3 linked regions of the Struthio camelus genome follow. The protein of the gene in region 1 purifies or fractionates together with the protein of each later gene. This does not show direct contact. Links are inferred from orthologs where the notes say so. Each region holds a gene or a part of one and is shown on either strand. Other genes may lie near its edges.

What was found.
Region 2: the proteins of NUP133 (region 1) and SEH1L purify together in Homo sapiens (affinity purification with mass spectrometry; 4 studies listed by BioGRID and IntAct, with this or other methods). This does not show direct contact. The link is inferred for Struthio camelus from reciprocal best matches to the Homo sapiens genes NUP133 and SEH1L.
Region 3: the proteins of NUP133 (region 1) and AHCTF1 purify together in Homo sapiens (affinity purification with western blotting; 3 studies listed by BioGRID, with this or other methods). This does not show direct contact. The link is inferred for Struthio camelus from reciprocal best matches to the Homo sapiens genes NUP133 and AHCTF1.

Annotation. Positions count from the first base shown.
Region 1 is NC_090944.1:91,500,668-91,508,559, reverse strand, and holds the start of NUP133 (nuclear pore complex protein Nup133), read left to right. Parts: upstream 1-4,860; 5' UTR 4,861-4,946; coding exon 4,947-5,131; intron 5,132-7,892. UniProt on the Homo sapiens protein: Involved in poly(A)+ RNA transport. Involved in nephrogenesis.
Region 2 is NC_090943.1:113,515,214-113,522,930, forward strand, and holds the start of SEH1L (nucleoporin SEH1), read right to left. Parts: upstream 3,100-7,717; 5' UTR 3,029-3,099; coding exon 2,918-3,028; intron 644-2,917; coding exon 593-643; intron 1-592. UniProt on the Homo sapiens protein: Component of the Nup107-160 subcomplex of the nuclear pore complex (NPC). The Nup107-160 subcomplex is required for the assembly of a functional NPC.
Region 3 is NC_090944.1:100,274,364-100,281,937, forward strand, and holds the start of AHCTF1 (protein ELYS), read right to left. Parts: upstream 3,049-7,574; 5' UTR 2,798-3,048; intron 2,762-2,797; exon of another isoform or gene 2,624-2,761; intron 1-2,623. UniProt on the Homo sapiens protein: Required for the assembly of a functional nuclear pore complex (NPC) on the surface of chromosomes as nuclei form at the end of mitosis. May initiate NPC assembly by binding to chromatin and recruiting the Nup107-160 subcomplex of the NPC.

The sequences.
Region 1 (7,892 bases):
CCAGATCTGTGGCTTACATATGTACAACGTATGCGATATGGCCTTTGTGTGCACATGGTATGCTGTCTACCTCCACAGCAGTGCAAGTCAGCCTTCTGCATCGTTGCATGGGGAACTGTGGGAGCCCCATTAGTTGAGCTTCACGGGGAAATTTGATCCTTTTGCCAGAGTATTAAAGAGACAGTATCTCGAAGGAGAGAAATTACTGTATTCTGTTTTGTTACAAGAGTTTAATGGCCGCCTGTTCAAGGCTGAAGCTGTTGGTGCCTATCTGACAATCCTGATAGGCATACTTTGCTCAGGGCCGCTTTATTTCACGCTTCTGCCTTGTGCAGTGTGGTCCATAAGGGGAAAAGGAGCCACACAACGTATAAAAGTCTTAACTAATTGAGTTAATACCTGGGACTGGTATACCAAAAAGCACTATAAAACAAACTTTATTATACTCCCTAACTGTATTTTCCAGTGTTGACTTCTTCAGTTTTTAGTAACACTGCGTGTCATAGATGAAGACTTAGATGCAAAACATTTGTTACTTTGTGCTATACTTGTACTGTTAATAAGAGGTTTGACCTTCCAAAAATAGTTTCCTCTCCTGAAAGTTGAAATTTCGAACCCAACAGCTATGCTGTGTATACAGTGTTACTTAGTCTGAAGTTCTGTTAAAAAGCCTGAAAGAACATACTGTTATAAAATGTTACACAACAGGAAAACGCCCTTGATAGTAGTTCACCTGAAACAAGTAACGCGAAACTAAATTGCCCAAGCTTCAAATTCTCCATCAAAAGCCAGATCCTGAGAGGCAAGGCTCTTTGGAACAGAGTTCAGTGCTCTATCAGGATTTGGCAGAAAACAAAAGCTATGGAGAAAACTAGTTGGAGAGTTCTTTAACTTTAAACTGTTATTCCTCATCTGTTCTTAAAAAGAACTTCTCCAGTTATCTAAATGTCAACAGCTGCTTACTAGTCTAGTGCATGGATAGGAGATTATTTTGCCAGACACTTTAACTTCTGAACTCGCTTGAAAAGCTCTTCTAATGGGGCTGTAATTGCAACACTGAAATCTGCTGACACAGTTAGCACATAGTGAAATATCGCCAGCTGCGGTATGATTTGGCAGGATACTCTAAACACTCTTCACTCTGATGTACACAGTCCATTTTAGTACTAATATTTTAAAATGGGTATCCTAACAAGTACCAAGTAGATAAGACATTTGGTGAAAAATGGTAGAGTTTCTCTGTGATGTATAAAGAAGACTTGAAAAGGGCATAGGTCAGCTTTAAAAAAAATTCTTGAAACTGATGATGTAGTGGTCACTGCTTGAACTCAAAATCTTGTCTCTGCTTTGCTCTTTGCTGTTTTCTTTTGATGGAGCTACTGTAAGTAGGAACAGGCTCAGTTCCATGAAGGATAGTGTCAGCAGGCTCAAAACACAGCTGTGTTACTCCTACTGTATTCCAGAGGCCAAAAGGTGCAGAAAATGCTTTCAGTCACAAGTGAATGCAATTTACTAAGTCAGATTAAGTTTATCCCACATTTCCTGAAAGAAAGACCAGACCTTCTTCCCAAATGGTAGTTTAGTGTCCTTTTAGCCCTAGTGTGCAACACATAATATAAAACCATCTCTCTTTTGTACCATGTGCACTGCTGTTCTAACTTGGGCTAAACGCATCTTCTCTGTATAGATAAGTAGAAAAGATGATTTCCCGGTTGTTTAAAAATAAATGTAACTATTTTTACACATATATACATATGTGATTTTTTTTAAATGTCAGTTTCTATTGCTAGTGGCCTTATTTTAGGGGATACCTAACGTAGGCATTGTTTCAAAGTCATGTATTTATTAATGGGGCCTATTTTCATCCTTGCCTGGGGGCCAGAACTGTTTCTTTTTTTTAATTTTGCTAGCCAGTAATGATTTTCAGGGCTCAAATACTGTATCTAAGTGCTTTCAAAACAACTTTACTAAGTGGAATATACTGCTTAGGGTTGAGTACTTGCAGTCTTAGTGACAGGCCAACTCTCAATATGCACTTTATCCCTTCGCTGTGTTCCTAATTTATTTGTTTTGTAACTCCTGGGAGCATAAATGTTTTCCTGAAGGAAGTAAGACACTGAAAATAAATTGTGCCTTAAGTTATTTTATTACTTAATTTACTTATTAAACTATTTATTATTTTAATACTTAAAGACAGTACTGATCAAAGCATTGTCACTCATCATTCACTAGAAACGTGAGCATCTCTGTGAAAGTGCTAATTTATTCAAGTCAGGTTTCAAACAGTTACTGCAACTTTTTGTTTTAATTTTTTGATATAGTCTCTGTCAGTATTTTAATCTTTGAAAAGGGAGTGGATTCCATTTAGGGGAGTAATAGAAGTGAATTTCTAGAAGTGCATATCCTCTCTAAAGTCTTAAGCAATTTTGTCTTCACAGACTTTCCACTGCTCAACAATTTCAGGGGTCTTGAATTGGGGCAATTGATGCAAATTGCTTAAGAGGTCTTAAACTGATGATGCAAAGAACCAACAGAGTATTGTGCTGACCTATTAAGGAACTCTATGTTGATGTGTAAGACATTATATTTCCTAGCTTTTGAAAAAAAAATGTTACTGATCTTTCATATGCATCTTTGTGTAAACCTCTGTATCGTCCCATAAGGCACATTAAGTTAAGTTTGTTTCATACAAACCATCAATTCATGGGAATGTTGTTCGCTCTGCAGATGGTGTGGTCTGGCTGCTGCTACCCTTTCAAACTAATTTCTTTCTAAATAGATAGGTGACTGTTTGGGGCTAGCGTAGCTATGGAACATTTTCTACACTGGTTTTCAATCCATTGATCAATCAAAAATAGAAGTACAAAAGTATTAATATTCTTGTACACTTTGAAGACGTGGTCTAGTACAAGTCTCCTATTTCCATTCTTTTAGTTCAAATCCTGACTAGGTCACTATTGTCAAAATTGCCTCCGGGACATTCAGTTTTTCATGTGAAAAACAAGTACTATGCAAGTCCTTGTTCAAGGACTGGTTAAGTCTCTAGCCAGTCCTACTAGTACGGTACAATTAGCATTAGCTAGATTTCCTATTTAAAAGATTGAATTGTCCTCCTCTGTCCTGAAGATGGAGCTCTAAAACAGGTCTGGGACAGCAAAAGGAAACACAATTCACTGAGTAAATACCGAGTCAGAATTCAATCAGCAAAAAACTGCTTACGCTGTATTATCTTAAATATTTTTGAAATGAGATGTTTTGGGGAGCTATCACTTTTTAAAAGACTTTGACTCTGACTGTTGGTGGGGGTTGGGAGATCTCGATGGCAGCTTGAGTTTTACTCAGATTTTTCTCCACTTGCTTGTGTATGCATTTTCTGGTTTTATTTTTTTCTCCATGAAACACCAGTAACATGACAGTTCAGCATCACTGCATGCAGCAAAATAGAGAAGGCTATACAGAAAGATACAACGTGAATGTAACGTTATACTGAAGTTCCACTAAATGTTTGTATTTTGCCTTTCCAATAAAACCAAAACAACGGGACACCAGGTGAAATTAAAAGGCAAAGCACTGAAACATTCAGACAGAAGTTTCATTCTTCAGTACTGCCAGATGATGCATCTCAAATTTGTTTCTCTGCTCTTCGGTTTCAGTCATATTGGACCACTGTCTGTATTGCCATAAGCTGTTTTTTAATCAAAGAACGTGTTTTGGGAAAATTGTGGGGAGTTATGGACTGTTCTATTTTTGGTTAGTTTTATCTCAACTAATTACCTGCATTGACAATGACATAACTCAAATTCTTCCCCTACAGTCGATGATACATATGTACTTTCTGGAAACTGTGTTTTTCATACAAAAAATGAAGTTGAATGTTTAACTTCAGTGAGAAAATTTAACTCCCATTTAACAGAATAAATTCTGTAATAGTAAATATTTTCTGTAGTGCATGATTGTTAGTTACCATAGAAGTGAAACATACTAAAATTTTCATGCGCTATGTTTTCTTTGGGGGAAATTACAATTTTATTTTTTTTTAAATTTGAACTTTGGAATAAGCACAGGTTACAGCACAGGGTATTTTCAACATCAGGCAACCGTATTGCTGGGAAACACGTCCTTCCAAAAGTGCAAAAGAGCAGTTTGAAATGGTCTTTCAATAGTTACCTTTCAATGTTACCTTTCTTTTTCTATTAGCGAGTTGATCGGTAGCAGATATGCTTTCCTTGGGTTCCAAATCAAGTCTTTTGAATGCCACTGGGAGCAGCCTGAAGGACTGAACGCATCCAGCCTTCTTCGGCAGGATCCAGGACCTGCATTTTTCCGTATGAACATCTGGCACAGCTGACTGCCTACACTGCTGGAGGAGAAAAGTGACCGTTCCAATTCTTGTGCTCTGAAAGAGAGCAGGATCGGATAATCGTTCTCTGAAGCTCACCGCCATTTTAACTGGCCCGAAGCTGTGCAACTCTGCTCTCCCCCGATTAAACTATTACTTTTGGAGGCGCCGAAGAAGGACTGATGTGGGTTAAGACAGAAATTGGATGCGTTAACACTTGCGCATTTTAAGAATTTCAGCGCACTTGTGGGGACAGTTTCCTTCTTCTGGGTCGTACTCGGCAGAGCGAAGCGGCCGCCGCCAACGGCCGCCGCCAACGGCCGCCGCCAACGGCCGCCGCCAACGGCCGCCGCCAACGGCCGCCGCCAACGGCCGCCGCCAACGGCCGCCGCCAACGGCCGCCGCCAACGGCCGCCGCCAGAGGGCCCGCCCCGCACCCGGCCGGCGCGGGGTCTCCGCCGCTGGCCCGCACGGACCAGCCTGCCGCGCGCCCTGCTCCTCCCCTCTGCTTCCCGCGACGGGCGCGTTCGACAGTGACGCAGAAAGCCGGCGCCCAGCCCGAGCCCATCTGCCGCACGGCCGGCGCCGCTCGCCTCTGTCCCCGGCCATGTTCCCTTCGGCTCCCGCCTCGCCGCGGACCCCCGGCGGGTCGGCCCGCAGGAACCTCGGCAGCGCCGCCGCCAGCCCCCTCTCCCGGCCGGGCGGCAGGAGGAACCTGGCCGTAGTGGCGGCAGGCAGCTCCCCGGGGCTGTTTTCCCCGGTGGGGCGGAGGAGCGGCTCCCTCTCTGCTCGGTGAGTTCCCTGCCTCTCGCCACGCCGCCAGCGGCCCCGGGGGGAGGGCGAGGGCGAGGGCGGAGCGCAGCGCGGCCCTGCTCTTGCCGCCGCGCCGTTACCCGCGGGCCGTTGGGCTGCCGCGGCCCCGCCCCCTCCAGGCGCGCGCGGGGCGGGGCGGGGCGGGGCGGGGCGGGGCTCGGCGCGCTGCCGCCGCCTCGGGTGGCGCCGCTTGACCCGAGCGGTCGCCCCCCTCTCCCTCCCCCTGCTTCTTCTCCTTTTTCCCTTTCAGGGATGTTTTTTGGAATAAATCCCGAGTTCTCTGTTGCTGGGGTTCCTTAAGTAGGTAGGAAGATAGGGCACTGCAGTTCGCGGTTTGCGGGGGCTGCTGGTGGGGCAGCCAGCTCCCGTCCCGCTGAGGAGAGCGTGAGTGAGGCTGGCACCTCCAGCTGCGTGGGTGTGCGGGCCATGCTGGCCCCGCCTGACCTGCCCGTGACCCTTGGGCCCGCTGCTGCGAGGAATCTGCTCTCCTTCCCTTCTCTCCCTCTCTCCGTCGCTTTCTGGTGTTCTTTCCGCTCCCTCTTCCACAATGACCAAAAGCGTTGGTACGTTTTGCTGCGTGGATGCAAAAGACGTGGGCTGCAGTTTGTGTCACCTGCCTTCTTGTTCAGGATTGACTTGCTACTTGCTCATTGTTTAGGGAAAGATTCTGGTTTTTTGTGTTTTGTTTTGTTTTCTTTGGTCTTTTAGAGTTACGTTACTATTCCTTTACTATTCCTGGGGATCTGAACAGACTAGTCTCCCTCTTTGCAGAAGTAAAACAGTACTTGTGGAGAGAGGTAATAGGAAATTGGCCTAGTGATACAATATAAAAAGTAGCATAGTTTGAAAAAATGACAAGTAGTTGGGCTGCAAGTCTCCTCCTTAAGTCTGACAAACAGAGCCAAAACTGATGTGCAGAAACAGACGCGTTTATTTCAAATAGCATTTTCTCCCAGGTAATCTTCTGGCATCTACAAAACAAAATGTCGCCTAAGCAAATAAAGGCTTAGACAAGCCATTGGGACCTATTGAATGGAAAGGGGAAAACAGTGTCCTCAGTACATCTCTTAGATCCAATTAGAAGCGTGCCTTAACAAAAGGATTCTGCCTGAAAGCTCTTGCTTTTTCCTGTCCCTATTGAAAGTTGAAATAAAAGATTTCCTATCTCTGCTACCCTTGCCTCATTGGTACATGCTTGATCTGTCATAGATACAGTGCTGCTTTTGCCTGAGTCTAATTTTACTGTTTGTTTTCTGTTGGGATGCATTGCAAGATATTCTGCATCTCTAATCATCCTTAAATCTCTCTTTGGTAGTTTTTCTGCAATATCTTTTTGAGATATGTGCATGCCAGGTCACCCTAGTGTTCAAGAAGTGGGCATGCTGTGTATTTATATAGTCTAATAATGATATTTTCTGTTCTGCTTTTTATTTTGTGTTTAATAATTCAGATACCGTATTTGCCATTTAACTATCCTAAATAATATAGTACAGTCAAGAAAGTTTGTCACTGTGGTAGTTGGTTCCTTTTATGACTATGCTGAACAGTTTAGGTATCAGTACAGACCCTATAGAATGGGACCTTTCCTTCTCCTACTGAAAACTTTCCTGCATTGTATAATCCAGCCTGTCTTTTTCTATATTCTTTTTGTTAATTGCTGTCTGTTAGACAAAGTTTGATCTACAGTAAGATTCTCCTCGTCTGCCAGCTTGCTTTCTTCAAGAACCTTTGACACAGGATCTTTTTGAAAGCTTATTAAGGATTTAAATCCTTAGTATTGTCCAGTTCATACTCACTGATCCCGTTCCCTGCCCCCCTCCCCCCCCCCAATATTCTGTCAGGCATGATTTTGCTGTACAAAAGGAAAAAAAAATCTCGCTTGTTACTAATCTATTTGTTTACTGATTTTGCTAATTTACTCTACTACAAGAGTTGACTTTACTAGTCTCTAGTTTCTCAGATGCTCTTAGAACCTTTGTAGGATATTTGACACGTTCTGTTCTTATGGTACCAAATTCTGACTGAAAAATTTTATCCTTCACAGTTTTCTGGTTCTTTTATAGTTCTCAGGTAAAATACCACATGTTCAGTATATTCTAAATATTTCTTATTAACATTTTAGTTTGACGGCTCCTCAAATGTTTCTCTGGTACAGGAAGAATGTGAAAAAATAAGCCCCTCTGAATTTAAAAAATAAATCATTCCAAGTTTAGGCTTTTCTGTGTCTTGTTCCGCATGAATCAGAACTGAGAGTTAAAATAAGCCCCAAATCAATTTCAGGGCTTCAGAATCGCTTTTCTCAAAAAGCGGCTATTTGTTGTTGAGATGAGCAAGACTGTGCCCATTTTCAGTTCTGGGGACCTTTTACTTTAGGCACTTTTAGAACCAGTCAGCCTTGTGTTCTAGCTTTGTATAGTCTTTTGATATTTCCCTTTGGAAGAATTATGCTACATTATTATTTCTGCTGGGGGAGGGGAAAGAAGACAGTATGTTCTAAAAGCGGAGAAATCTTACCGCCTAATCATGCTTGAAGGACAAGATGGACCTATGCCGTTCCGCAGAGAGAAGGTGGGGGAAGATGCAAAGCAGCTCTTTATAATTATATTGAGGAAGAAATAATGGCTAAAATAGATAGAAAGCTGCAGTCACCAGTAAGAGAAGGGCACTAGAAGTGTTTGCTGGTCAGAGCTGTCAAGGATGTTTAAATTGTTGCACAGTGTCTACTGCTTACTGGTGTCAG
Region 2 (7,717 bases), on another chromosome or scaffold:
CTTTCATACCTAGTCAATTGAATGCTTCTTTCTCTAAAGAAAGAGAACTCAAAGACTTCACTTGCATTTCCCTTTATACGGTTTACTGTATTGCAGTCCTATTAAATAGAAGTTTACAGACAGTTGACAAGCTCAATGCCCCAGTTATCCTGATGAAGCATAGAGACTGGTCTTTGTATGTCACAGTTCTCAGAAAAGTTATGAAAAAAATAAAGAGGAGGCCCAATGTTGTAACATTTAATAGACCAGCCTCTTCCTTTTTTAAAGTTTTAGAATATGCAAAAAGGAGACATTCAATTAAAAATGCGGATATTGTTTTCCAACTTCCTTATTCCTGCTACCAGTATGTCTATTGGTAACAAATTCTGCCAAGGTAATTAATTAATGGTACAAGACTGCACGCTAGCCTCTGCTTTAAGTGAGAGGTGTTACAGATGTTTTTTAGAAGTGGAGAAGGCTGTTTTATTATAAGGAACACTGTATCTACAAGAAACAGAAGTATTTATACTCTACAAGTCACAAAAACTAAGTACATTTTGACAAAACATGGGAGAAATTACGGTCTAACTGTGTAATTATTATCAATACAAACCTTCCAGCTGGCAGTGCAATGCCAATCCCCGTTTTCACTTTTGTCCCAGACCTATTGAGAAATCAAAATACAATCATACTACTAAATAAACTTTATATACAAGTTGTATAAAAAAAACAGGGTCATTTAAAAAAAAAAAAAAAAAGGACCACAAATTATTTCCCTCCAGAAAATCCTTTCTGGTCCAGTACACTACTACACTTCACTCAACCTTGAAAATATCCTTAATACAGGTCCGAGGAAGAGCCACACATCTGCAAAACCCACTACAGTATGAGGTCTCCTATTTTTTTTTACAGAAGACAAATTATTACAATTCTCATCTCTTCACTTTGATCTTACATTCCATGGGCATGCCAAAATTACTCCATTTTACCATAGCACTCCTATGATCCTCACCATGGCATGTGCTCACAGATAGTTCCAAAACCTCGAGGTGGCTTCTGGCAATCACAAAGGACAGAGTAGGACAGCAAAGAGAAACTGATCCCAGTAGGTTAACAGATTTGGTTCATACTATGTCTGACCTGAATTATAACCATCCTGTCAATAATTTTTCTCAACTTCCCAAAAATCTTGTCTTTGCAACTTTTTCAGAGAAATCATGAAGAAACTCATGAATCTCATCAAGGAAAGACAACTCCAGACACCTGGCAGCCACTCCTTGTTTCTCACTCATTCACTGTATAACCGTATTGAAATAACATTGTCTCACTTTTGTCATTCTGGATCTCTAATACAACCTTGGTTATAATCAGTTCACCAGGCCAACTCCACAAAAATTGCTGCCCGATTCCTATTCTGCAGGGCCCACCTAAGGCAGAGGGGACCTAAAACAGACACCAAATAACAGATATACTGCTATTTAAGCAGTGTTGTAAAATTCTCGTTAGAGTAAAATTTCTCAAGACTCTCTTATAAGAGATACTGGTATGACTGGAAAGTAACTTTATACCACTGAACAATATTGTTCCTAAATTTCATCTACCTTATGGCACCTTTCTTAAGTATATTCTCTTTTAAGCTTTACGTTTTATATACTTAATCCAGATCAAAGGCTGACTTACATGCTTGAGTGGGCTTTTTTTGAAGTGCGGGGAAGGGAAGAGGGGCTGTTTACTTATTTTTAAGCCTCATCTAAATTAGACAGCTATTTACTGAAAAGTGCTAACGTTTTATCGGCCATTTTCCAGAACTTAAAAAAGAAAAAAAAATGCTATTATTGCCCTCTGCAAACTGAATACCTTAAATCTAACAGTACGTAACCTCTTCTCCCTATACTCATATAATGGAAAAAGCAATTAACTTTCCATTTATCATGATTTTAGTTCCTCTAAAGGAGTGTGAAATAAAGGTTTCTAGCATTTTATCTGTGTGAGCACGCACAGAACGTTTCAGCTAGTTGTTGATTGTCGGCGCTTCGGTATGAGACGTCGGCTTCCTCCCTTAGTGCCTTCAAATAAATACAGCTTTTCAGAAGACACAAAATAAAACTGCACTGCTGTAGCCACAATGGTTTAAGGATGTTAAAAAAAAAAAAAAAGTAAGAGCTGTCAGGAAAAAGAACATATCTATTTAGACCAATTAATACCGATAGGAAAAGCCTCTCTGGGTACTGGGGCACACAGTCCCGTCATCCCACGTGACACGAAAACAACAGACTACAAAAACTACTGCTCCTGTTTCAAATCCAAAAAGGAGAATCAGGTGCTTGTGTGGTTTTCCCAGCTGTAGCAAGGGGTCGAAAAAAATTATGTATTCCTGTGTCTGTGTGTGCGTTTGCACATGTATATGTATATATATACTTACATATATACATACTATATACACATGTGCATGTGTATATATGTGTGTGTGCATATATATATATTAAAAAAAGCATTATGTATAAATACATTGTGGCTTTACAGTCCCTGCCGTTGAAGTCTGGGGGCGCAATCATTTAGCTCAAGAACGGCAGCTGGGGCTTTCTGCAGCATTTGCCCTCCGCAGTCCCCGGGGGAGGCCGAAGGCCGGTCGCCCGCCCGCCGGGGCGGCGGCTCCCGGGCGGCTGGAGCGACGCTTCGCTCCCAGGCCTCGGCGCCACAAGGCGGAGCGGGGAGAGGGACGGGCTCCCTCGGGCCTGGAGGCCCGCCGCGCCGCGCCGGGCAGGGCGGAGCGGCGGCCGGCCGGCCCCCGAGCCCGGCGGCTCCGCACGGCCGCGGCCGGTGCCCGCCGGCGGCGCGGTGGGCCCTGCAGGCCGCGCCGGTGCCGGGCTCCGCGGGCAGGCGCCACGGTGCCTCCTCTTCCTCCCCGCCCCGCCCAGGCCCGGCGGCTCCCGCTCACTTTGACGCTCTGGTCGCTGGAGCACGTCGCCATGCGCCGCCCGTGGAAGTCGAAGGAGACATCGTGGATGAGGTCGCGGTGATCCGCCGCGATGCTGCGCGCCACGAACATCTCCGCGGCCCGGCCCGGCCCGGCCCAGGCGCGCGCCCTCCTCGCGCCGGGGGCGGGGCAACGGCCGCCGCCGGCCCGCGCTCAGCCCCCAGAGCCCTCCGCGCCCGCCCGCTCGCTCCTCCCCCTCCTACAACGGCCAACGTGCGTTCCGGCGCCGAGTGAACGGCCCTTCGCGCGCGCCCCTCCCCTCCCTTCCCCTCCCCCTGCGGCCGCGCTGGGGCGGGCGGCAGCCGCGCTGGGGCGCCCCCCTTTTCCGCGCACCGCGGAGCCGCTCTGCCCTCCCCAGCCACCCGGCGGTGACCCGTCCTCCAGGGGGAAGGTCTTCCCCCCCTCCCTCCCCGCCCCCCACGTCCGTGGGCATCCACAAAGCAGGCAGCGAGCGCCTCCGTGCCGGCGCGGGGGAATACGAGCTGTCCCGAGCTTGGAGTTGCTTTGTTGAGGGCTGCTGCTCTGGCCGGAGCTAACTCTGTGCTTTGAAAATAGGGCACTGCGTGTCGTCGCAGTGTGGAGCCACGCGCAACGTGAGCCGCAGTGACACTCAGTAGTGAATCTCTCACAGAGGACAGCAAAGCAGTAGGCATCAGATAAGGCCTAACTGAATGAAACCAGTCCTGACTAGGAGACGTGTAAGAAACATAATATTAACGTTCCTTTCTAGGTGATGCAAGGTTGAGCTTTCTCGGGAAATCACGGTCGTCGTTTTGGCACCTCAGAAAGCAGCAACCTTGCTGCCTTTGGACAGCCTTCTCCAGGCCTACGTTGCATCTGAGACCTTTTTTTCTTTTTTTATGGGCTTTGGGGAGGATTTCTTACTTCACATCTTGGTAAAGGAATATTTAAAACAATTAAATGTAGTTGTATCAGTAAAACGTGAATTAGACGTGAATACTATATTCCAGTAGATGGCAGTAAGTCATAGATTTCGCCTTTTTGGGAGCCATCTCAGAAACACGTTAAGTCGGTTACGGCAATCCGACACAGTAATTCTGAACCTTTTTGTATGTCACTGCCACCATTGTCCCACATCCTCCTTTCTCCTGCTGCTTTCACCATCTCGTAGGAACCCTTCGCAGCTGCTCACCCAAGTCCCCGCCTGCTTTCTCGCACTACTGTCCTCAAGCTATATTGCTGCCTCCTAACCAGCGCTGCAGCTGCTTCCCGCTTTCTCCCCTCTTCTAGCCAGGGCTATTGCCATTTCCCTCTCTTTAGTAGATATTGTTAAGCTGGGCTATAATTTACTCTCTTTTTACATTTCCGTACTTCCAACGTTGGAGCTCTCTGCAGCGATGCAAATCCAAAAAGCACAAGCAACATTTAACACGTCAGTTTTTGACTTACTTACTTATCAAAGTACATTTACTTCTTTGTTTTATGGTTTACTCTATTAATGATTACTATCAGGTCAGCCCTGAGAGTACTGTGGCGTAAAAGAACATGAGACCTACTTCTAGGAGAAGAGGAGGTAATATGGGCCAAGTTTGAAAGGTTTTCTAGGAAGGACAAACAATGTGCATTTGACACAGGCAGAAAAGGAACATCTGAAGGAATTTCAAGACAGGTTAGAAGCACTAGATGAGATAAGGTGGGTTTTGGATCACATGAAAGACTACGAGGAGGAAGCAGAAGAAAAGGAAGAGGAGGAAAAGAGACGTTTTCATGGAAGAAAAGAGTTTCCAATAACTCAGGTCTGGGCATGAGCTATAAACCAGTAGTGACTAGTGTGAAGCCTGAGGGCCATACGAAACAAATTAACCAAACCAGCCGGAGGCTCTTCAGGGCTGAATACTCTCACCACTGACCTGCTGTGTTCCCCAGACAGCCCCTTGCTAACGGAAGCACTTTCTTCCAGTTTGCATCCTGCAGTATCAGCTCCCAAACTGAATCACGCAGCTCTTCGGAAGAGTAGCGCTAGTATGTCTTTAATTCCCTTCAGTTTTTGCATCATTGAGCTCAAGATTGGTCCAGTGCCTTGTTTTTAAGGAATGTTTCATCCATAAGCGTAGAATGCCATGTTATTTCCTGGTTAATCTGAAGCTGACTGTAATAGCTGACAAATGTTAATGTAGAGAAAATAAACAATTCTTTCACTAAAATTCGCTAATAATGCACTTAGTAGGTTTAGAGACAACAGTAAATAGATAACAAGGAGATGATGAAGATAGATGAAAGCAAACCACACTTCTACTTAACTCTACTTCATGTCAGTTCCCAAACAGCGCTCAAGCCATTAGGACAGCTTCATTGCCTTGTAGTTGGGATCCAGTTTTCAACAGGATCAATAGGTACTGCTATTAAAGAAGAGGATCATGATGTGGTGCTTCCTGAAACCAAATTCTCTTGATTCAAATCCGAGTCAGACCTTTCCCAAAGCCTTTTTTGTATCTGCACCTTTAACCAGAGATTAGTTTTATCATTTTGGAAAGGAGTTTTGACTCCTTCCACCTCATTTAAAATTTTCGTGTAGCTTGGTCTTGGCAATAAGGAGTCAAATTCAGTCCACTTAGTGAAGAGAATTTGTTAAGGAATGCCTAAACAACAAACAAAATTATAACGAAACCATTATCTGATTGTGAGATAAACCTGGCAGTTTAGGGTTTGATATTTAGTGCATTTATTTTTCGCAAACTGTAAAATATATTCCATGGTAACTAATGGAGCTGCCGCTATCACATGCCATGGAGACTACTTCACTCGTTTTTTGAATCATACGCAAATGTACTTCATAAAAGCATTTAACATTGTAGTAGACCTCATATCTAGACTAGATACGTTGGCACCCAGAAGTGATAATGGCCGATACCAGACTGATGTACGTGACGAGAAATTTGAACGTGAAGGAATACTATGGCATTAAGATGTTAGGATTTAATTATTTCAATGATACCGGGTAAGGATAGTTAAAAAATAAATATTTTTGAGATACTAGAGAGCCAAATCTAAATGGAGAGCAGGAAATAACATTGAAGAGAGAAATTTGCAAATTGTTGTCAAGGAAATTAAGGCAACTAAGTTGTACCTATTTATATTGGTGGGGAATTTGGTTTGACATTTGCAAATTACAGAAAAATTGTAAAGCATTTTTTTAAATGAGGAGCTAATCAGAGGAAGGGAGTAATATTTTCCTGTTTCTAAAGATGAACTGGTATTGCACAATTCATCCCCTAGAGAGAACCTCACTGTGGATTGTAGGGCCATGGTCAACACATCCCACAGAGTAAGTTATTTCTAAGTAATACGTAAAATGAAAGCAATACAATAGGAGAAGCAAGCAAAGTTGATCATTCGTGATAGTCCCAGTGCTATAATGAGAGACGGTATTAAGTTTTGCATGTTGTAGGAGAAACACTTTTATATTAGAACAAAATAAACAAACATATCCGAAAAATATTCATGCACTTACTTGGATTGCTAAGGAGAAATATTTTTTTCTCTTCTTTTAGCATTATTAGAGACTTTTATACTTTGAAGCGTCAGTTATTGCTTCACTCAAACAGCTGGAGACTCAGTCGTAGTAAAAAAAACATTCAGAAGTTCTTTAATGCACAGAACTGTCTCTGACTGATTTTGTTTGCTATTTTTGAGAAATGTCCTCCTTTTACTGTAAACTGTTGATTATATTTATAAAGAATTGTGGTTTTTTTTCCATAAGAATTGTTTCCAGAGTCATCATCAAAAAATCCATTCTTTTGCAATTTTTAGTAATAAAATTATTTTGTCAAGACTCCAAATGTGTTACAACTAATGAATTCATAATTTTCTTATGCTCAGATTTTAATTTATCTCTTCAGCCAATAATATTAGTATATTTGGAGCAGGGCAAACTGGTCTGATTCACAAAACAATTGTCATCAATGTGTTACATTTGAAAAAGAACTAGGAAAAAATTAACATCTCCTTTTTAAAATAGCTAAATAAATTTTCATTTCAAAACTTGCCTATTTATGTTTAAAAATACCTAAATATTTAAATATGGCACAAATGCACATTTTTGTTTGACCTAAGAGGTTTGTGGGGGGTTTTTTTGACAAGACAACAAAAATTGTACATTTCAAATCAAGACTAAACTTTTTGTCTTACATTTTAGTTTAGTCAATAAGCTAAAAAAGTCTACCGTTCTTCCAGGCTATTTTTACTTATATACACATTTATTTATTTATTTAAAGACAACTTAGCCCTGTCCTCAGTCTCTAGAGTCCATGCAAGTAGGTCAGTTTGCAGCCATTAAGGAACTGGGCCCAAAATCTTCATTTACTTAAAGACAGAAAAGTCCAGGGAATATGTGGGAGATAGATTGTCATCCCAGTGCCTTCATTTACCTTTGTGTCTGAGTGCAGTCAATATCCAGTCATAAGATAAACATATTTATCCCATGCAGATATTTGTATCGAGCGTTTTTGTGAGCAAACCAATTGACATCATAGAATTAATGTTCAATAGAGGAAACACTTTATGCTGAAGCATCAAAATTACCAAAGGGATGAAGGGGCAAGTTATACCCCTTGTTAAGGCAAGCAGTCATTAAATAGACAATCACTGTAGTAAATGACATCTGTTCTAACAAAGAAGCATTCATATCTTCTGGCAAATGAAACTGCTTATTTGAATTTTAAAAAATGGCCAGACCATCTCTTGGATTAAGAGGAAATAAAATAAATTCTGTGGAATAAGATTAAATCTGTCTGGACCTCC
Region 3 (7,574 bases), about 8.8 Mb from region 1:
GAAATAGGACAGAGTGGGGAAAAAACAAAAGAAATGAAAGAAAAACAGTAAATTCTTTTGAGAAAAACAGCACCTACTTTGTTAGATAACAGGTATCAATGAAAATTATGGAATTCTTTGAATTACTGGTAACAACTGGTTCCATGACATTTTCTTCAGAAAAATAGGAAACAACTCACAAACATAGGAGGAGCAGTAGAATGATAAGACACTTCCTGCACTTTAGTAGTCAGGTTCAGTGAATTAGAATTTTGCCATGTTTTACTCCAGTAGAAAGACTAAAACAAGCAGGTGATTTAGTGAGTAGCACTTGATTATTTTTTCCCCACTTGAGGGGGGAGAGGGGGGAGAGGGGGGAGAGGGGGGAGAGGGGGGAGAGGGGGGAGAGGGGGGAGAGGGGGGAGAGGGGGGAGAGGGGGGAGAGGGGGGAGAGGGGGGAGAGGGGGGAGAGGGGGGAGAGGGGGGAGAGGGGGGAGAGGGGGGAGAGGGGGGAGAGGGGGGAGAGGGGGGAGAGGGGGGAGAGGGGGGAGAGAGAAAATCTGATGTTTTAGGCAAAATCCCAGGTATTTAATCCAAATAACAAATTTTAGTCCCCCCCAAAGTCATTATCATAACAGAAATGAGCTCTATCAGAATGCAAGAATCAGACTTATTTCACTGAAATGCAGCCTACAGATTGCCTTGCAGAATTTATTCAGATGTTTCGCAAGCTCTCCAGGAAGCACAAACCTACAGCAGAAGGTAAGAAAGAAAAAAGAATTTCAGGTCTCTATCCCATCAACCACCAAGCCATCAACAGCTAAGAACCTGTATCTGATGCAGACCATAAGACTTGATTTCCCTTTAAATACAAGAACAAACAAAAACAAACAGAATTTGACACTAGATCCAAGTCTACCCAACTAGTTCCCACAATTATTTTCTAATATGACTATGCATTTATTCAAGAGCTGAAACCCCCGTCTAATATGGCTAAGCTAGCAGAAGCTCCTTAAGTCTGTGCTAAAATACTCTTTTTTGTATGACTTGGTATGCTTAGGGTAGACAAATGCAGCTGTTAGCTTTCTCGCCACCAAATCCAGCCTCGCTGATATCACTAGGTAGTAGTTAACAGGGCATCGCCAGCGTAACATCATGGTACAGCATCCTACCACATGGCCTTCCCAGCACAGGATTCTGAAACATACTTCTACAAGAAGCAATCTGACAAGGTAAACTACAAAAACATTTCCAACATATACAATAGGCCAAGGCTTTTAGTTCCTCTCTCCTACTAATGCAGTTTAAGCATTCTGTCCACCACACAAGTGACACATCACCACAGGTCTGTCACTATTACTTCTCTAGAACCCTATCTGACAGGTTACTAGGTAGAAGACCTGAAACTAACAGAAGCCTGATGAAGTTCATTTCACTGTGTTAGAAAAGCAATCCCAAGGAAAACAAATGCAGCAAAATGAGCTGATGTAATAAGTGAATGAGGAGCTGTCCTCAGCAGAACAGGATACAGTACTGCATGCCCATACGCTTATGAGAGCTACCAGTCAAGACTGATATAATGATCTAGACTGATGAGTCTAAGGAAAAAATCACTTGAAATACCCTATTTCACCAGACACCCTAAACGGGATTCAGTGTTCCTGACACAACTACGTCCTCTGATTTTGCATAATTTTACCAAACGTTATCAGGCAGTAATTAGCAGACCTGAAAGATTGACACTACATTTCTTTCTATTGGTAAAAGCTCCAGACCTGGAGTCACGGTTTACTACGGAAGAATTCAAGCACTTTTGTTTAAGTCAGCAACTCTATGGCATGATGCATGCTTCATACAAAAATTAAGAGTCGTAGAAACCCTCAGCAACACATAACAAAAAGTTGGGCTGGCAAAGCAAGAGGGAAAGGCAGGTCCCTCACACCCTCAGCAGGGCTCAGGAGACGCACGAAACACACTCGGCATCTGTAAAACTGTGCTCGGCCCATTAAACCCAGTTCTCTTCCTGCGACTCCCGCTCTATGCAGAAAGCTAAACATCCCGCCTTCTGCTGGAAAACCAGACCAAAAGGGGGAAGGGGGGGGAAAAAAAATCCAAAAAATCGCCCGAAGGGCGGAGAGGCGCGGGGATGTGCGGGTGACCGGGCAGGAGGCCGGCCGGCAGGGAGGGAAAGCTCGCGGCGACGGTCGCCACATCTCCCACGCCCCCCCCCCAGCCCCTGACTGCCGTCTCCCGCCGGCGGAGCCTCGCACACCGCCGCCGCCTCCCATGTGCTCTGCCCAGGCCGCGCCGCCGCCCGCCCCGGCCCAACCCGGCCCGACCCGACCCCCCGCCCCGGCCCTCGCCGCGGCCAGGCCACGTGCGGCGGCCGCGGCCCAGGGGGTCACTTACGTAAGGGGCCGGGCGGCCGCGGCCGAGCCCGCCGACAGCCCCCGCCGGGCCCGCGCTGCGCCAGCGGCGCCGCTACTGGCCTAGCCGCCTCGGGAGCGCCCGGTACCTGCTGTTGGCCGCAGGGCGGGGGAGTGGGGGGGGGGGCGAGCGTCGCCACCGGCCACCGCCGCCTTCTGCCTGCGCCGCTCCCGCCCACCTCCCCCACCACCTCCCCCATTTTTCCCCCGGTACGTGCCGGTGAAAGCGGCGGCATCTCCCGCAGCGGTTAGAGCGGCCTCCGCCTGCCCGGGCCTCTGCCCGGCGGTACCGCGCCGCCCTACGCCGCGCCGCTCTCGGTGCCTGCGCAGCCGCGCCGCGCCCCGCTCCGCGCCGCGCCGCTCCCTCCCCTCCCCCCGCGCGCGGCACCTACCTCGCTCGCTCACCCGCCGCGCGGGGGGCGGGGCGGAACGGTGTTGGGGGGGGGGGCGGAGATCTCGCGAGAGCGGCCGCGGCCACCGCGGGAATTTTCAAATTCGCGGGGCTTGGCCGCGGGCGGTGGCCGCCTGCCGGGGAGGGGCTGCGGCCGCGGCCGCGGCCGCGGCCTCCACCGAACTACGCTTCCCAGCATGCCCTGCCGCCGCCGCTTCCGCTCCGCCGCACCGGCTTCCTGCCGCCGCCGCCGGCGGGCCTGCCGCGGGGCACGCTGGGAAATGTAGTCGCTGAAGGACTCCAGCGGCCGGCGTCACGAGCAGGGCGAAGGCGCCATTTTCTCTGCTGCCCTCGCCGAGCGGGTGGCCGCGGGGGGAGGGGGGGAGGTCGCCGTCGCTTGGTAGCACCGGTCACCGGACAGCTGCGCGGCAGGGGCTGCTCCAGCCTCGGCGCGGCAGACGTCTGGCTCCTCGGTAGCAGTTTGCAGGCCGACTTCGGCCAGCGCAGCTCTGTCTGCGACAGCTGCGGCCATGCCCGTGCTAGGGACAACGCGACGCCGGGTGCAGCTGTGTTTCAGTGCAACTGCTAAGCCTGGTCCCGGGGTGTTAGGGGCCTGTAAAGGTGGTGGTTCTGTGTTAAAATCCAAGCTTGGGCTTGGACGGGTTTATGCCAGGAGTATTTTGCCTGTGAAATACGTTACGTGCCAATAAAATATCTTCAGCTGTAGAAGTAGCCTGGAAAAGGCGGAAGGCAAACAGAAATTAAGCGTCAGACCTAGACAAGCACGCGCACCTCAGAAAAGTACTGCTAGAGAGCTTTTTGATCTAAACCCCCGTAAACAAAGATGGTGTTTCCATTTGATTCCTGCTGTGACCGAGGGAAGAGGACTTTGTACGTTTTGTAAATAAACAGGTTTCCAGAACTGCCTGATTGCGATGAAGTTTCTAGTTCATTGCGCAGGTCTGTTGCCCAGTTAATTGTTTCTACTTGACTGCAAAAGCCTGAACAGCAAGGAAGCAGAAGCATAACTAGCATTTAATGAAATAATACTGGCAAATTAAAAATACGTTTAAGGAGTGGATTAGCTCTAAATTTTAAATACAATTTTTAGGCTGAAAACATATCTATATGCCAGCATAAATAAGCATCTCTTTACAAATGAAAGCCATGACGTATTCACCATTGAAATGAGGAAAGCAAGAGGCACTTAGCTATACAAAACTCTTCTTTGCAGCCATTTTGAGAATAATTCCTTGGGTCGATTTGCCAAATAAGTTAGGACTTTCCCATTTCCTTTGCAACATCACCAGCATCTTGGCAAGATACTTACCCTTTTAATTTTTGCCACCTGGAGGTAGAATGTCACCAACATTAGGAGAAGGAAGTGTCTTTGCACCTTGCATTTCCATTACTATTCTTCCGATTCTAGTTTGTGCTTTTTGATGTTCCAGATGTTGTGTCATTCAGGATGAGAAGCTGATAGCAGTGAGGTATCTCTTGGGCAGTACTGCTTATGTTCGAAGAAGGAGCAGAGTCCCACTTTCTTGTACTGAACAAGAATTAGGAAGAGAGTTCCAACCCCTTTTCCAACCAGCAGTTGCACCCAGGACCCCCATTTTTCTCTGGGTAGCCAGGCACAAGGCTATTTGTTCTCTTTTTCATGTTTTCAAATCCCCATCAACATCCAGAACACAGTTAATCAGTCTGCATATGCCTATTTGGTAATCCTTTTATTTCAGCTACCAAAAAGGCTCAATTGCTTTTATATTCATCCCAAGTAAAAGAAATCCATTAGCCCTCCCAGCTTCAGCAGAGCATAGTACAATCAGTAACACACTTAAACAACAGCCACCTAATTTCTTCTGTTCAAGTGTTTTGCTGTTGTTGCAATTTAAGTAAAGCTTACTCAACTTACAGTGGTGCTTGCAGCATCATTTATTTTCACCCTACAGTGTAAACGAAGCACAAAGTCTTCTCTTTTCAGCTTTAAAAACAACAGGATAAAATTCTGATCCCTGGCACTTGGACAAGTTTTTCTACTTTCTCGCTACGTTTTCTGCAACCCACCTAGTATCCAGCACAAAGAGATTCATTGCACATTGCAGTCAAGATTATTTTCATTATAATGTACAATTTGTTCAGAAAATACCAGAGCTATTAAGCATCACTCAGGCAGTTTAATACCTACCTTTTCTCTTATAGTCCCACCCGTATGTCCTAGAACACCCTACAAACAAGATCGGAAATCGGAAATCAAAATATGTCAGCTTTGTCTGGCAGACCTCTTCCAGCACCACTCTCTAATATGTTTAATTGATGTTGGAGCAAGGGCAGCAAAACTTTGAAATGAATTTTTAAACTCACAGCACAGTAAAACATGCTCAGAAAGACTTACTGAAGAAAACAACCAGGTCACTAACACACACACTAAATAATCCCACCTGAAATTTCGGTATAATCTTTCTAAACAATAACCTTTTGTAAGCAAGTACTAATCTGTTTCCCATCCCAGCAAGGGCTACGCTCAGAGTTTCTTTAAGGACACACTTTTATTCAACACAAAAGTCAGGGAAAAAAAACCTCAGTGTGAAACATTTCCACTGTAGAATACAGTCTAATCAAACCATCTAAAGTAGATGATTAGAAGATAACTAGTAAACAGCCACCTCTTTCCTCACCTCCTTTTCCCCAGGAGAGGAAATACCTGCCACTTTCCAAAAGTGGCCTGATAAGTGCCTGCTGCCTTCCTCCTCAGTCCCTCTGGATTTTAAAGCTATAGGTTATTTTGCTGCACTTTTACTCTTATTTTTAATAAGAAAACATATGTTAAAAATCAGCACAGTCAACATAAAATTAAGGTGGCACTGTTAGCCACTGCAAAGGCAGAAAATAAATATGAAGTGAAAAGTGCAAGTCTAATGCTATTCCTTTGGAGTATAGGTGTTCCAATATGGTCAAAACACTCTTTTACTTTAAAGTTTAAAATTTCAGATATTAATAAAGAGATCTGCAGGGCTACCAAGAAGTCTCTCTCCATTCTGTACATCAGCTGAGCCCCCTCTCACCTCTTTAGGGCCGCCGTTTGTGCCAGGAGCATTGAAAGAATGACAAATTGACTCAAGTCTTCCCGGCTTCCTACAACTGCTAGCAGCATATATTATCTCTAAATTATAGCTGCGCGTCTTAAGGTTAAGAACACTATTTTTTATATAGTTGTGGAAATGCTGATTGTGACTTGGTGGTTTCTGTTGCCATTTTAGATATATGAATTTGTAGCACATAGGAGCACAGATCATGGACAAGGACCCCTCTCCGTCATGCAGTGAACTATCATGGGACAGTCCAGCTCCTGGTGTATCGTGGGAGATGAGGTGTGCCTACAGTCAGCTGGGAATGAATCAGTGAGACAGTATTTGTCAGCACAAAGACTGGCTAGGAAGCCTAACTCTTGTCAAGCTTTTTGCAGGCAGTAAGGGAAAGGAGAATTTTGAAGATGAGTTGGTGTTGCAGATGTGTACCGACAGCTCCTCCCAAACATCCTGGCCAACATGAAGCATGTAGGGCTGTGTTTGAAAACATACCGAAGTGGGTGATACCACAGGCTGATCAGTGATGGCAGGACTGACTCTCTGTTATGCCTGAGAGGCCAAGCATGAGACAGGCAGAGCCAGGAAGGGCTATGAAAGGCCTAGAAAGTGAAGACAAATAGCTCACATTTGATGTAACAGAGAGTAAAGAGCTAGGGGAGAAATACAAAGATAGGCATGGCAACGTCAGAGGACCAGCTAGAGAAATATTATTTGCGGACGCATTTAGGGTGATTATGTACAGGACAAAACGGTATATATTAAGGACAGGCAATGCACTTTTGTAGTAATCACAATTCAAAGTGATTACAGCTTGGACGGCAGTTTTAGCTGTATGGATGGAGACAGGAAGGCCTCATGTCAGAGATTTTAGAGAGAACAAGGCTTAGACCTGGCCTGAATAAGGATGCAGGGAAAAGTGTGGACCAAAGACACAGCCAAGTTGTAGGCATGCATGGCTGCTGGTCTAAACAGTGACTGAGCAGAGAAGGAGCACCATAATGAAGTGGTCTTGTTTCAGCCAAGCTTAGCTTGAACTGATAGAAAGGCTTTCCTGAAGAGACAGCAGAGAAGCAGTGAAGCCTGCATTTGGAAGAAAGGTCGAGGATTCATCTTGCCAGTTTTAAATATCTGCAGTGCAGACATTTGCATCAGAGCTAGTCGGAGGGGCTCCCTTTGTAGCAGCGGAGAGAAACAGGCTCTTCCTGGCGGCTCTTCATCTGGCCTCTTTTAGGTACCTGCTATAGAATAAGGTGAGGGTCACTTGGCTGTAAAGGGAATCTAGACAACTGGTTCAGATGGAGACACCTACGCTGTACCCTTTCACTTCTGGTCAGATCAATCCCACCTTAAGAGACTGATCTGAATAGAGCACTGGATCTTAAAGTTGTCCAGAAGGTGAATTTATGTTTGCAGTGGAGATTACCCAGTGATAAGGCATAGAAGAAGAGAAGAAGGACAAGGAGAGGGCTTTATGCAACCCCCAGCGAAGTCTGGCATGGAAGATAAAGAGGATCCTCCAACAGACTTGCTGAATGAGCGCATAAAGGGAAACGGGACAACAGAGTTGTGAAAGACAAAGAATAATGTCTCAGGAAGCGAAGCACAGTTGACTTGTGGACGGTGGCTGACTAGTGAAGGAAAACGTCGAGGGAGAGCTGTAGCTGACGACAAGCAGGTCATTGGAGACTC